Ovis aries: one gene and its partners. The protein of the gene in region 2 purifies or fractionates together with the protein of the main gene of each other region. This does not show direct contact. Links are inferred from orthologs where the notes say so. Each region holds a gene or a part of one and is shown on either strand. Other genes may lie near its edges. The genes, in order: ING4, JADE1 and MEAF6.

Region 1 (2,480 bases), on a different chromosome or scaffold from region 2:
GGTGTGCTGCAGTCCATGGGGTGGCAAAGAATCGGACACGAGTGACTGACTGAACAAATCCCATGTGAGGACTGGGGCAGAGATGGAACATGCAACACAAAGTTGGGGCCTGGAGGGTAGGAACTACAGAGGACAGCTCCAGGTAAGTGAGCCAGAGCAGGGAGTAAGATGGGGGTTCTGGTGAGGAGACCCTGCATAAGGAGGGCTTAATCTATGGAAGTGGTTCCAGGTGGGCATAGACAATTCATTGGTGGTAAGTTTTTGCTTTGTGTTTCAAATAAGTCAGGCTAATACTTAGTATAACAGTTCATGTATAAAACACAAGTACACATTTATTGGAAATTAAATGAAAGATATAGGGAAAAGATGCACATCTTGAAGGTTTTGGAAACCCCCTGTCTGAGGCCCAGTTCCAGCCAGCTCTGTCCTTCCCATGCTGAGAGGTGGTGGGTCCTGGGGCAGCGGTACCACTTCAGGTTCCATGTCTGGTCCTACTTTCAGCATGACATCCTCCTGCCTCTTAGCCAACTCAGAGGATGCAAACTATGCTCAGCACATGTGCTAAAACAGTGTCTCTACAATAAACACAGCAGGCCAACACGTACAGCTTTTATTCACCAACTCGATTCCTTTACAAGTGAGATACTGACACTCTGCCCTGCCCCTCCCACTCACAAGGCTGGACAAATCCTCTCGGCACAGAGGAAGGGGTGCCCCTTCAGCCAGGGCCGTGGCCCAGAGGACCCGGAGGAGCCCCCCGCTGGAAAAAGCATGGAGAGAGTGAAGGAAGTTTATCACGCATGGCCCCCCCCAAAACGAGGGGAGGGAATCAGGAAGCTGGAGGAGGGCCCCATGCTACTGCCCCAGTCCTTAAATACAAAGCAACGGGAGAAAAGAGGACCATCCCTCAAAAACACAGCACCAACCTCGGCGTGGAGGCAAAAGGACAGTGGGCAAGACCACTTCCCTCTGAAGGGGGCGGGCTGAATGAGAGCACATACCGTTAGCGGCCGCAGAACCCCTGGACCAGGGTCTGGGTGCAGCCTCAGCACCGGAAGTGGGGAGGGGAGGAGAGGAGATGACAACATGTGCCACCCACCTCTCCCTGACCCCCGGCCCAGCCAGGCATCCCACTCCCCACTAGCCAGGTCAGGGGATGTGGAAGAAACTGTGTTGGAATCCAAGGCCCTTGTCTATTTCTTTTTTCGTTCTTGGGAGCAGCGTGGGCAAAACCTGCAAAGGAAGGTGGGGGAGGAGGTGAGCGAAGCGGAGGACGCCCCCCGTCACTCAGCTCAGGGCAGTCCAGCTCCGACCACAGCGCCCACTCACCATTTCCCCCGAGGCTTGGTGGTCAGCCCCACGCAGGCAAAGTGGAACCACTCAATGGAGCACTGGAAAAGGAAGACGGTGGAGGAGCAGAGGGCAGGGGGCAGGCTGGGGCCGAGGAAAGCAGAGAACCCCCCCACCCGGAGTCCTCAGGAGCATTCCCTTACTCCATCCGGCGGGAGGATTCTTGAAGGGTCCAAGGCCAACCACCTCCAACTCCCTTCCTCCTGTCCTGAGGTCCCACTCTTCAGCCCTTACCCTCTTCTGGTACCCAACTCCCTTCCTGTCCCCCAGAGCCCCCCGCCCTGAGGCAAACCGGTTCTTACGTCAGGGTTGTCACAGCCAATCATCTCCCCGTAGGAGACCTGGTGACAAAGGCAATAGGTGGGTTCGTTGGGATCCACAGGCATATCCAACACATCAGAGGGGTGGACACTGCCAAAGGTCACTGAGGGCATCCCATACTCAGGGCTTCTGCGTGCCAAGAGGGAGAGAGAGTATCACCTGCAGGAAGGGACGCTACAGCTTGACGCTCAGAGTGGCACGAGGAGATCCCTGTGAGGCTAGTGGTCTGTGGCTTCCCCTCTGTATCCAGCAGATACCAGAGTGATAGAGAAGGGGGCGAGGGGCGGGGCGGGGGCAAAGAGGAGCCTGTCACTTGGCAGGGTGCTCCCTGACTCACTCACGTGCGCACAAGTTTTAACTTCTTCTGGGCGGCCTTGGGGGCTTCTTCGTCGGAGTTTTTCCCTTTGGAACGAGCACGGGCAGCTTTCTTCTCCTTTTGAGTCCGACCTTCCAGGGAAGAGGGGAGGGGCAGCCAGAAGGCAGAGGGACAGAAAGATGGGTTAAGGACCCCTCCTCTCCTCCAACGTAGGGGTCCTCCCTTGGAGCTGAGGGATGGGCTGGCTGCCCTCTTGGAATCTTCGCTCCAACTCTCATGGCCCACCCCCCTCCTCACTCTTTTTGCCTTTGCTGGAAGAGCTGTCATAGTCACTTGACTCAATCTGCTTCTCCTTCAGATCAGCCTCAAAGCGGGCCAGGTCTGTGTCCAGTCGCCGAATGTGTTTGTCCACCTGGGTGGGAAGGAAGGAAGGAGAAGGAAGAGCTACCAGGCTGGTTCCAGTAAAAGCAAACAGGCTAAGGCAGAATCCATG
Region 2 (4,378 bases):
CCAGACTCATGTCTATTGAGTCGGTGATGCCATCCAACCATCTCATCCTCTGTCGTCCCCTTGTCCTCCTGGCTTCAATCTTTGCCATCATCAGGGTCTTTCCCAGTGAGTCAGTTTTTCACATCAGGTGGCCAAAGTATTGGAGTTTCAGCTTCAACATCAGTCCTTCCAATGAATATTCAGGACTGATTTCCTCCTTTAGGATGGACTGATTGGATCTCCTTGCAGTTCATGGGACTCTCAAGAGTTCAAAAGCATTAATTCTTCAGCACACAGCTTTCTTTATAGTTCAACTCTCACATCCAGACATGACTACTGGAAAAAACGATAGCTTTGACTAGATGGACCTTTGCTGGCAAAGTAATGTCTCTGCTTTTTAATATGCTGTCTAGGTCATATGCTGTAAAAGGTCATAAATGGAAGTAAACTTTCCCAACCTATTCAGTCTAGAACTCTGCAGTCACTCCAGAAATTTTCCATGAATATGCAAGCAGTTGTGTGTATATATATATCTTCCCTCTTTTATATGTAAATGGGCTGATATTCCATTTTTCTCCCCTGCAGTTTGTGGGTGTTTCTTTCTTGGTATGTGTTTTGGTACTTCCAACATCTGAACATACAGATCTACTAAAAAGGAATTCTGAGTAGATGGAAACGGGTAGAAGCTCAGGGTTGGAGTCCATGATGTCTGGTTGCCTTATATTGTTTGGGGTGAATTCATGGAAAGAGAACAAAAATACATCCCAAATACAGATGGTTGGAATGTTTTATCATAACTGCTCTTCAGGTGCTGACTCTAATTGTCATCAATTACAGAGACCTAGGAGGGATTTAATAGATTATTTTAGGGCTCATGAACAGAGATTGGATTACTTATAAAGGCAAATGGGAGCTGCCTGTGATTCATTCAGAACCACTCACATTTATAAATTTCTTAAAATCTTGAAAAAATTTATTTACTTTTAAAGTCCGGTTTTAAAAATAACTTATAAAGAACTTAATGGTGAACTAGTGTGTTACAGCACTTGGGTTTTATTAGTAACATTCACAGGGATGAGTATTGCATTTATGATTATCTGGGCAGTTATTAAAATCTTTTCTTGGGGAGAGGTGGTAGGTTATTTGTTGCTAATATAAACTCTTTTTCAGCTGAATATTTTCAAGTGGATGTCCCTGCAGAGACTGTAGAAGCTTGGGCACCATGTCCTTTAAATAAATTTTGATACATGACATTATAACAGACACATTTTTATAAGTTCTTTTTTTCTGAGTTGAAATATTTAGACAAGATTAAAGCTTTTAACACTTACGATCTAAGCAGTTTGTCAGTTATATCAAATCTATGACTGTCTTTTTGACCAGATATAATTTTTGGTTAAAGTGAGAAATCTGGGTTTGAGTTACAGTCACACTAGTATTTTTAAACTCTGAGCATTTGAATTTAGATAGTGTTGTTAATTTGAAAACTTTATGTCTAAGACATTAATGTTTGCTATAAAAACTGAGATAAGAAACCAGCTGATCTTGTTCACATTCATTTATGGATGGATAAGAGATTACTTTGAAGTATAGGTCATTATTATATTTGGGTATTTTATTTGGGGTAATGTATACTCTTTGAATGGAGAAGGAAATGGCAACCCACTCCAGTATTCTTGCCTGGAGAATCCCATGGACGGAGGAGCCTGGTGGGCTACAGTCCGCAGTATCGCAAAGAGTCAGACACGGCCGAGCGACTTCATTTTCACTTTCACTTTCACACTCATTGAAGATAAGAAGAAAGAAGATCTATTAAGAAAATGTGAGTCTTTCTTTATGGGGGAAGTATTAATAGTCTATGACCAGTGACTAAGGGACCAAATCATGTTGCATAGTGTTTAAAAATAATATTTGAATGTCTGAACTTAGCAAATAGAGCCACCTCATTTCAAAATCTTTTGTCTTTATGTAAGACTTCTTGGTGTCTGAAAGTCAGTTCTTTAATGTATGTTTTTATATTATACATATGCTAAATACATTTAAAAATATAGTACATTTAAATATTAGATTATTAACTTTGACAGAGAATGGAAGGACACCTTATAAATTTGAAAATTAATAGAAGTTACTCCAACTAAAGGTCAAGTAGATATTAAAGTGAAGTGTCTCACATTCTCTAAAGCTGAGTTGAACATAGGATAGAGTTTACATTCAGGAACTCAGTCATTCATCCTGCATTGTGTGGGTGTGTGCAGTCACTCAGTCGTGTCCGACTCTTCTTGGCCCCATGGACTATAGCCCACCGGGGTCCTCTGTGGGATTTTCCCACACGAATACTGGAGTGGGTTACCATTTCCTACTCCAGGGGATCTTCCTGACGGGGGGATTGAGCTCAAGTCTCTTGACTCCTGCATTGACGGGTGGATTCTTTACCACTAGCGCCACCTGGGAAGCCCCCTTCATCCACTGCATTAGTTATGTATTAAGTGATACACAGAGAAGGAATATGTAGAGGTCTTTGAGTACTTTCTAGAACTTCTTGAGAGTGAAGAATGAAAACATACTGGACAAAATTGATACTTTGAAAAAAATAGCCTTTCTGCATATAAACCATAAGCAATGAAAATCACTAGGGTGCAATCCTTAGTATAGCTGTAGAGTTTATGGCCTGATAAATGGTCCCTGTTCCACCACAGAATGATTCTAATAACGGGACAGTTCCTCAAATCTGTCTTTTTCCCAGGTGTAGCACTGAATAAACATTCTGAAATTCTTAATCATCTTATTCTTTTGTAAAAGTTCTTCTTTCTGTCCTCCAGGGTCATTTCTCATTCTTTCTTGGCTAGAGTCACATACCAGTCATGCCTCCCTGGAACCACACCCAGGTCACTAAATTTGTTCCCTTGCAAATTCCTGAACCACTTGGGGATGGGTTCCTTCAGCTAAGGGCTGCTCTTAACTTAGTGCCTGCCGATTCTCCACCCTAATTTCAGTCCAAGGAAAACATAAATTTGAAGGTTTTGAGGCAGCTTGCTGTCTCATGTACATATCCCGTGAAAGTGTTAGTTGCTCAATCATGTCTGACTCTCTGCAGCCCTGTGGACTGTAGCCTAACAGGGTCATCTGTACCAGGCAAGAATGCTAGCGTTGGTTGCCATTTCCTTCTCTGGGAAATCTTCCTGACCCAGGGATTGAACCCAGGTCTTCATAACAGTTACCACACTGCAGCTAGTTATCTAGATATCTGCTTACTGTATCTCCCTTTGGGCCATTCCCTACCTTGTTCATCATATCTTTGGCATCTAACTTGATGCAGTTTTAATTGAATGAACATGTTAACTAATCCACTGCTTTTTAACACGTGTGGCAGGAGAGGCTGAAGGAGAGTGGTCTGCATGCAGGATGTCGCCTGTGCTTCCTGAGGAGATGGTGCCCTGCGCAGCTACCACGCGCACCTGGTTGTCTCGGCTCGTCCTCCCCGTTTCCAAAGGACTGTCACTTGACTGATCCAGCCAGGGTCTTTGGCCAATGACTTCCTCTTACTTGGCCTTTCTAGGCAGTGTTCATATTATAATCAGGTTTCCTAGGTAGTTTTTTTGCTTTTTGGGCAAAGTCCCAAATGCCTAATAATTAGTATTTTGTCTACTTAGCTGTTATGCTTCTCATGGCAAATGGACACTCCAGGCTCCCGTAAATTGTATCACATTGAAGCCAGTTTTGATGAAATCAGATAGAATGTTAGAAGAGCCCTGTTGAGGACTGGACCCAGAGTTCCGGGGGTGCCTGTTGTAGCTGCCCTTTGAAGTCGTTTTTTTTTTTTTTTTTTTGAAGTTTTGCTTAAGACCCATTTCTGTGAAGTCTTTATTTCACATTTAATCCAAGAGAATCTCTGTTCTCTAGAATTTAACTATAACCTTTTAGAGACACACTTGTATAAAATATTTGAGTGATGATGCAAGGCAGGAGTTGATTGCATGTTAAAGAAAATAGTACATTAAAAGGCTGAGTGAAAAAGTTCTAAAAGATGAAAAAGGTGAAATGAGTGGTACTGAATGTAAATGGTTTTAATTGGAGTGGTGGATGGTACTTGGTGGTTTTGAGCTGAGCCCTGGAGAAGAGATGGGATTGGGATGGATGGGTGAGGAGGAAAGGGCCAAGGAGCACTGGGCGCAGAGGCTGAGGCTGGAAAGAAGAGGTGTTTTATGATAGAGGCCAGGCAAGCTGATTAGGGGGTCTTGGTAGGAGAGATGTTTGGGTAGAGCAGGGAGGGGCCAGGTGGTGGGAAACCCTGGGTTTCTAGCTGGAGCCATTTGCAGTGTGAAACGGAGAGATTGGCAGAGGAAATGGCTTGGAGAGGTCACCTTACAGGATGGATTAATTTGCTGTAATAATTCCATAA
Region 3 (4,447 bases), on a different chromosome or scaffold from region 2:
GCCCACTGTGCTCTCGGTGCCTACTTTATCTCTGCTCTTCATTCTTATACTCGCTCCCTGCTGGAATGCTGTGTGTCTGGAAATTCTTTACCAACCTATGCTCAAACTGCTTAACATGCAGGAGATATGGGTTCGATCCCTAGTCCACGGAGATTTCACATGCTGCAGGACAGCTAAGCCCGGGTTCTGCTGAGCCTGTGTCCTGGAGCCCGGGAGCCACGGCTGCTGAGCCCACGTGCGGTAACTACTGGAACTTGAACTCTCTAGAGCCTGTGCTCCGTAGCAAGTGGAGCCACCGCAAGGAGAAGCCTTAGCACCACCATTAGAGGGTAGTTTTGAATTATTGTTATAAAACCCTTCATCACATCCTCCCAGGGTGGAACACATAGTTTTTCGAGACAGAAGCCCAGTTTGTCTTCCTTTGCCTGGCAAAGTGATAGAGCCTTCCTTTTCTACTTCACTCAAAACTTTGTCTCCAAGATTTGATTTGGCATTAGTGTATGGAGAGGCCAAGCTTTCCATAACAACATTAGACTTACAGCAATTGTGTTAAGTATGCACTATTATTACCTCCATTATACAGATGAGGAAATTGAGACAAGTGAAATTTAGCTACCTGCTCAAGGTGGCCCAGCCTCATCAATGGTAGAGGTAGCGTTTTTTAAATTTTAGTTTTTTATTGAAGTATTGTTGATTCACAATGTTGTATTAATTTCAAGTGTACAGAAAAGCGATTCACATATATGGAATCTTTTCAGATTATTTTCCTTTATAAGTTATTACAATACAATGAGTATAGTTTCCTGTGCTATAGAGTAGGTCCTTGTTGGTTATTTATATTATATGTAGTAGTGCCTGCATATTAATCCTAGACTCCTAATTTATTCCTTGCCCTCTTTCCCCTTTGGTAATGGTAAATTTGTTTTCTGTGTCTGAAAACTCACAGAATCATCATCTCCCAGACCTCAGCTTTGTTCCTCCTCCTCCATTTCTGCCACCAGCCAGGTGTCTGTTCCAGCTCGTCTGTGCCCTTAACCACCGCACATACTTGTCTCTCTAAAGGGCAATAGGGAGCCACTGAAAGGTTTTTACCTAGAAGGTGACACATTTGTTTTCTAAAAACAAATCATCCTGGCACCACTTTGGATAATGGATTAAATCGAGCTAAGGATAGAAACAGGAGGCTGTTGGAATGTCTCCAAAAACGAGAGCCTGGATGAATGAGGGAGGTGGCAGACAAAAGGAAACAGATTTACGAGCTCTGCTCGAGTCAAGTCCAGAGGACTTGGTTTTGGATCGGATTAAGGGGGTGAAGAAGGGTGAGGCCGGTACAAAGGTTTCTGACTCGAGTAATTCCGCGGACACTAAAAGTCATTCACTGATGAGACTTCCGAGAAGTCTTATTTTGGACACGGTGAGTCTGCAGTGCAGAAATGCGGCCGGGACCTAGGGCAGAGGGCACCCTTGGGGTCCTGCGAGCCCACCGGCGGGAGCTCTGGGGGGCGCCCAGCGCGCCTCCGGAAGCCGCGCGCGCAGGCGCAGTGTGGCGGCGGGCGCCCCCTGGCGGGCGGTGGCGCGAAGGGACCGCCCCCAGCCTAGCGCTGCCGCCGCCGCCGCCCGCCTCAGCCCAACATGGCGATGCACAACAAGGCGGCGCCGCCACAAATCCCCGACACCCGGCGGGAGCTGGCGGAGCTCGTGAAGCGGAAGCAGGAGCTGGCGGTGAGGGCCGGCACCGGGGGTGCCCGGGTGAAACCCCCGCGCTTGCCCCCGTCTCCGGGCCCGGGCCCGGCCGCTCCGGGCCGTTCGTTACTCCCCGGGCGCAGCGCGGCGGCTGGGAGTCCGCCGGCCTGAGGACGGCTGCGCATTGCGCGGCCCGCCGGCGCCTCGGCTTCCCGGCCGGGCGGATCTGGCGCCGGGAGCCGGGGGCGGGGCGCGGAGCGGGGGAGGGGGAGGGAGGCTAGGCCGGCGGAGGCGTGGAGGGAGGTTGGCGCCCGCGGGTGGGGGCTTCCGTGTGGGAGCCTGCGGCGGCGAGGGTCCGCGAGCCCCGCGGGCTGGATGAGGGCGGGCGGCCCTGGGCTCTTGGAGCGATTGGGCGGCAAGCGTGCCGGCAGGGTGGAGGAGATCGGCTCCGGCTTGGCTGTGGGCTCTGGGGAGGTGGGGTAGGAGACGGATGTGGGAGGGGAGACCCACACATCCATTCTGACCTTTGGAGGATGGAGGGGCGTTAATGTCTTTGCGGGGAATAGGATTAGATCCGTTGGATGGGGCTTTTGATGGGCAGGCGTGGGATGTGTTCGGGGACTTCTTAGAAGATGACAGGTGAGGGGGAGCGGACTCAGCCTAGGGAATTAGAAATTGTGACACGCGCCTGGGGCCCCTTGCTCCCTGGTGGCTAAGCCGTCCCTCCCCTTGCGTTTTTGGCTGGAGCACCGGGAGGCGCATCTTACCTGAAGCTGCCCTTCCAGGTTTCCATAGCAACCGGCCGCCCGGTGCAGGCGGCCTTTCGGAGCTTGCAGGGAGGCGAGCGAGTTGGCGCTGGAAGGCTGCTCACCCTTCCCTCTCCGGTAGCGGTGTCTTTTATGCGTGGGAGTGGAGACTGCTCACCTTCTTCCTCCGCGGTTTCTTGACAGCTGGGTTTCCACGAAGCCTCTGAGTATATACAGACTTTTGCCTGGGTGTACATTTTTCTAGGGACAGAATCTATTTCATTTTATTCTTAAAGGCACCCAGCAAGACAGGTCTAGACTGTCTTGTCTGAAACAGCCTGCCCCTACCCATGTCATCCCTCTCTCCACAAGGCTGACTCGGTGTCGTTGAACTTGAATTTCTAAGCCTGATACCAGGATGTCAGTTTGGTCCGACTTAATGCTTGCATGTAAAAGGCATCAACTGTTTCCTTGTCTTTCACCTCAGGAAACACTGGCAAACTTGGAGAGACAGATCTATGCTTTTGAAGGAAGCTACCTGGAAGACACGCAGATGTACGGCAACATTATTCGTGGCTGGGATCGGTATCTGACCAACCAAAAGTGAGTGACAGAAGCCTGTAGTGTTGCTTTGTGCCCTACTAATGTTTGCATTTGGTGCTTCCCTGGCGGCTCAATGGTCAAGAACCCGCCTGCCAGTGCAGGAAGTGTGGGTTCCTTCCCTGGGTCAGGAGGATTCCCTGGAGAAGGAAGTGCCAACCCACTCTAGTATTCTTGTCTGGAAAATCCCACTGACAGAGGAGCCTGGTGTGCTGCAGTCCATGGGGTCTCAAAGCATCTGACACGACTTGCGACTAAACAGCAACAACTGTATTTGTGATCAGGACTATGTATGTCCTTGGCGGTAGCTTTGGAGGGAAGCAGTAGTAAGGTGGGGTGGACAGAGGTCTGCATTCGAGCTTGGTCTCTGGTTCAACCCCTGCCTCACTGAGTAACCCTGGACAAATCCTACACAGTAGGGGAAGTCTGGCCAATGGCACAGGGTTGTGTGAGGCTTAAATGGAATACAGCATATAATACTTTATATACCAGCATGCCTCTTGCTATTTTGTACATTTTAATCAGTCAAGAGTTCCACCCTCACAGGATTTGCCCTACCTATATGCCAACTGTGCCATGGTTTATTTAGTAATATTATTCTTAAAAATGTTCTAATTTTTTTTTGAAAATTTTCGAATCTAGAGAAAAATTGAAAGAATAGTTCATGATCTCTTGATCTCCTTCACCGATCACCAGTTAGCTTGCTGTCACGTTTGATTTCTCTCTCTTCCCTTTCTGTAATTTACAAGCACACACTCTATGCGGGCATGCCTGCTTAGTCACTCAGTGGTATCCAACTCTTTTTGACCCCACGGACTGTAGCCTGCCAGGCTCCTCTGTCCATGGGATTTTCCAGGCAAGAATACTAGAGTAGGTAGTCATTACCTTCTCCAGGGGATCTTCCTGACCCCGGGATCGAACCTTGGTCTCCTGCATTGCAGGCAGATGCTTTACTATCTGAGCCAACAGGGAAACCCATACATCCCCATATCTATACTTAAAATTAAAAAAAAAAATTTTTTTAAATAATTATAGATACATAGGCAAAAAACAATACAGAGAGGTTCCATATATCCTTCACTCAGTCTTCCGCAGTGGTTGGGTTTTATGTAACCATTTAGTACAATGGTAAAAGGAGGAACCTGACCTTGGTACAATGTGTAAGTTTAGTTCTATCATTTTATCAAGTGGGTAGCTTCCTGTAACCACCACCGCAGTCAAGATATAGAACTGTTCTGTCACCACAAAGATCTGCCTCCTGCCACCCCTCTGTAGTTGTATCTCTCCTTTCTTCCATATATGTGTATTATACTTTCTGCTAAACCATTCAAAAGTTAAAAGCAGATCTTGGACACTTCGTCCCTAATTGTGTTAGCAGATACCTCCTAAGAATAAGAGCATCTTTCTTAACGTAACCA

The links.
Region 1: the proteins of JADE1 (region 2) and ING4 purify together in Homo sapiens (affinity purification with mass spectrometry; 4 studies listed by BioGRID and IntAct, with this or other methods). This does not show direct contact. The link is inferred for Ovis aries from reciprocal best matches to the Homo sapiens genes JADE1 and ING4.
Region 3: the proteins of JADE1 (region 2) and MEAF6 purify together in Homo sapiens (affinity purification with mass spectrometry; 5 studies listed by BioGRID and IntAct, counting the BioPlex papers as one, with this or other methods). This does not show direct contact. The link is inferred for Ovis aries from reciprocal best matches to the Homo sapiens genes JADE1 and MEAF6.

What each region holds. Positions count from the first base shown.
Region 1 is NC_056056.1:209,616,280-209,618,759, reverse strand, and holds the end of ING4 (inhibitor of growth protein 4), read right to left. Parts: intron 2,400-2,480; coding exon 2,285-2,399; intron 2,119-2,284; coding exon 2,013-2,118; intron 1,801-2,012; coding exon 1,653-1,800; intron 1,392-1,652; coding exon 1,330-1,391; intron 1,234-1,329; coding exon 1,194-1,233; 3' UTR 596-1,193; downstream 1-595.
Region 2 is NC_056070.1:29,236,570-29,240,947, reverse strand, and holds the start of JADE1 (protein Jade-1), read left to right. Parts: upstream 1-1,495; 5' UTR 1,496-1,671; coding exon 1,672-1,801; intron 1,802-4,378.
Region 3 is NC_056054.1:12,341,799-12,346,245, reverse strand, and holds the start of MEAF6 (chromatin modification-related protein MEAF6), read left to right. Parts: upstream 1-1,624; 5' UTR 1,625-1,632; coding exon 1,633-1,722; intron 1,723-2,916; coding exon 2,917-3,032; intron 3,033-4,447.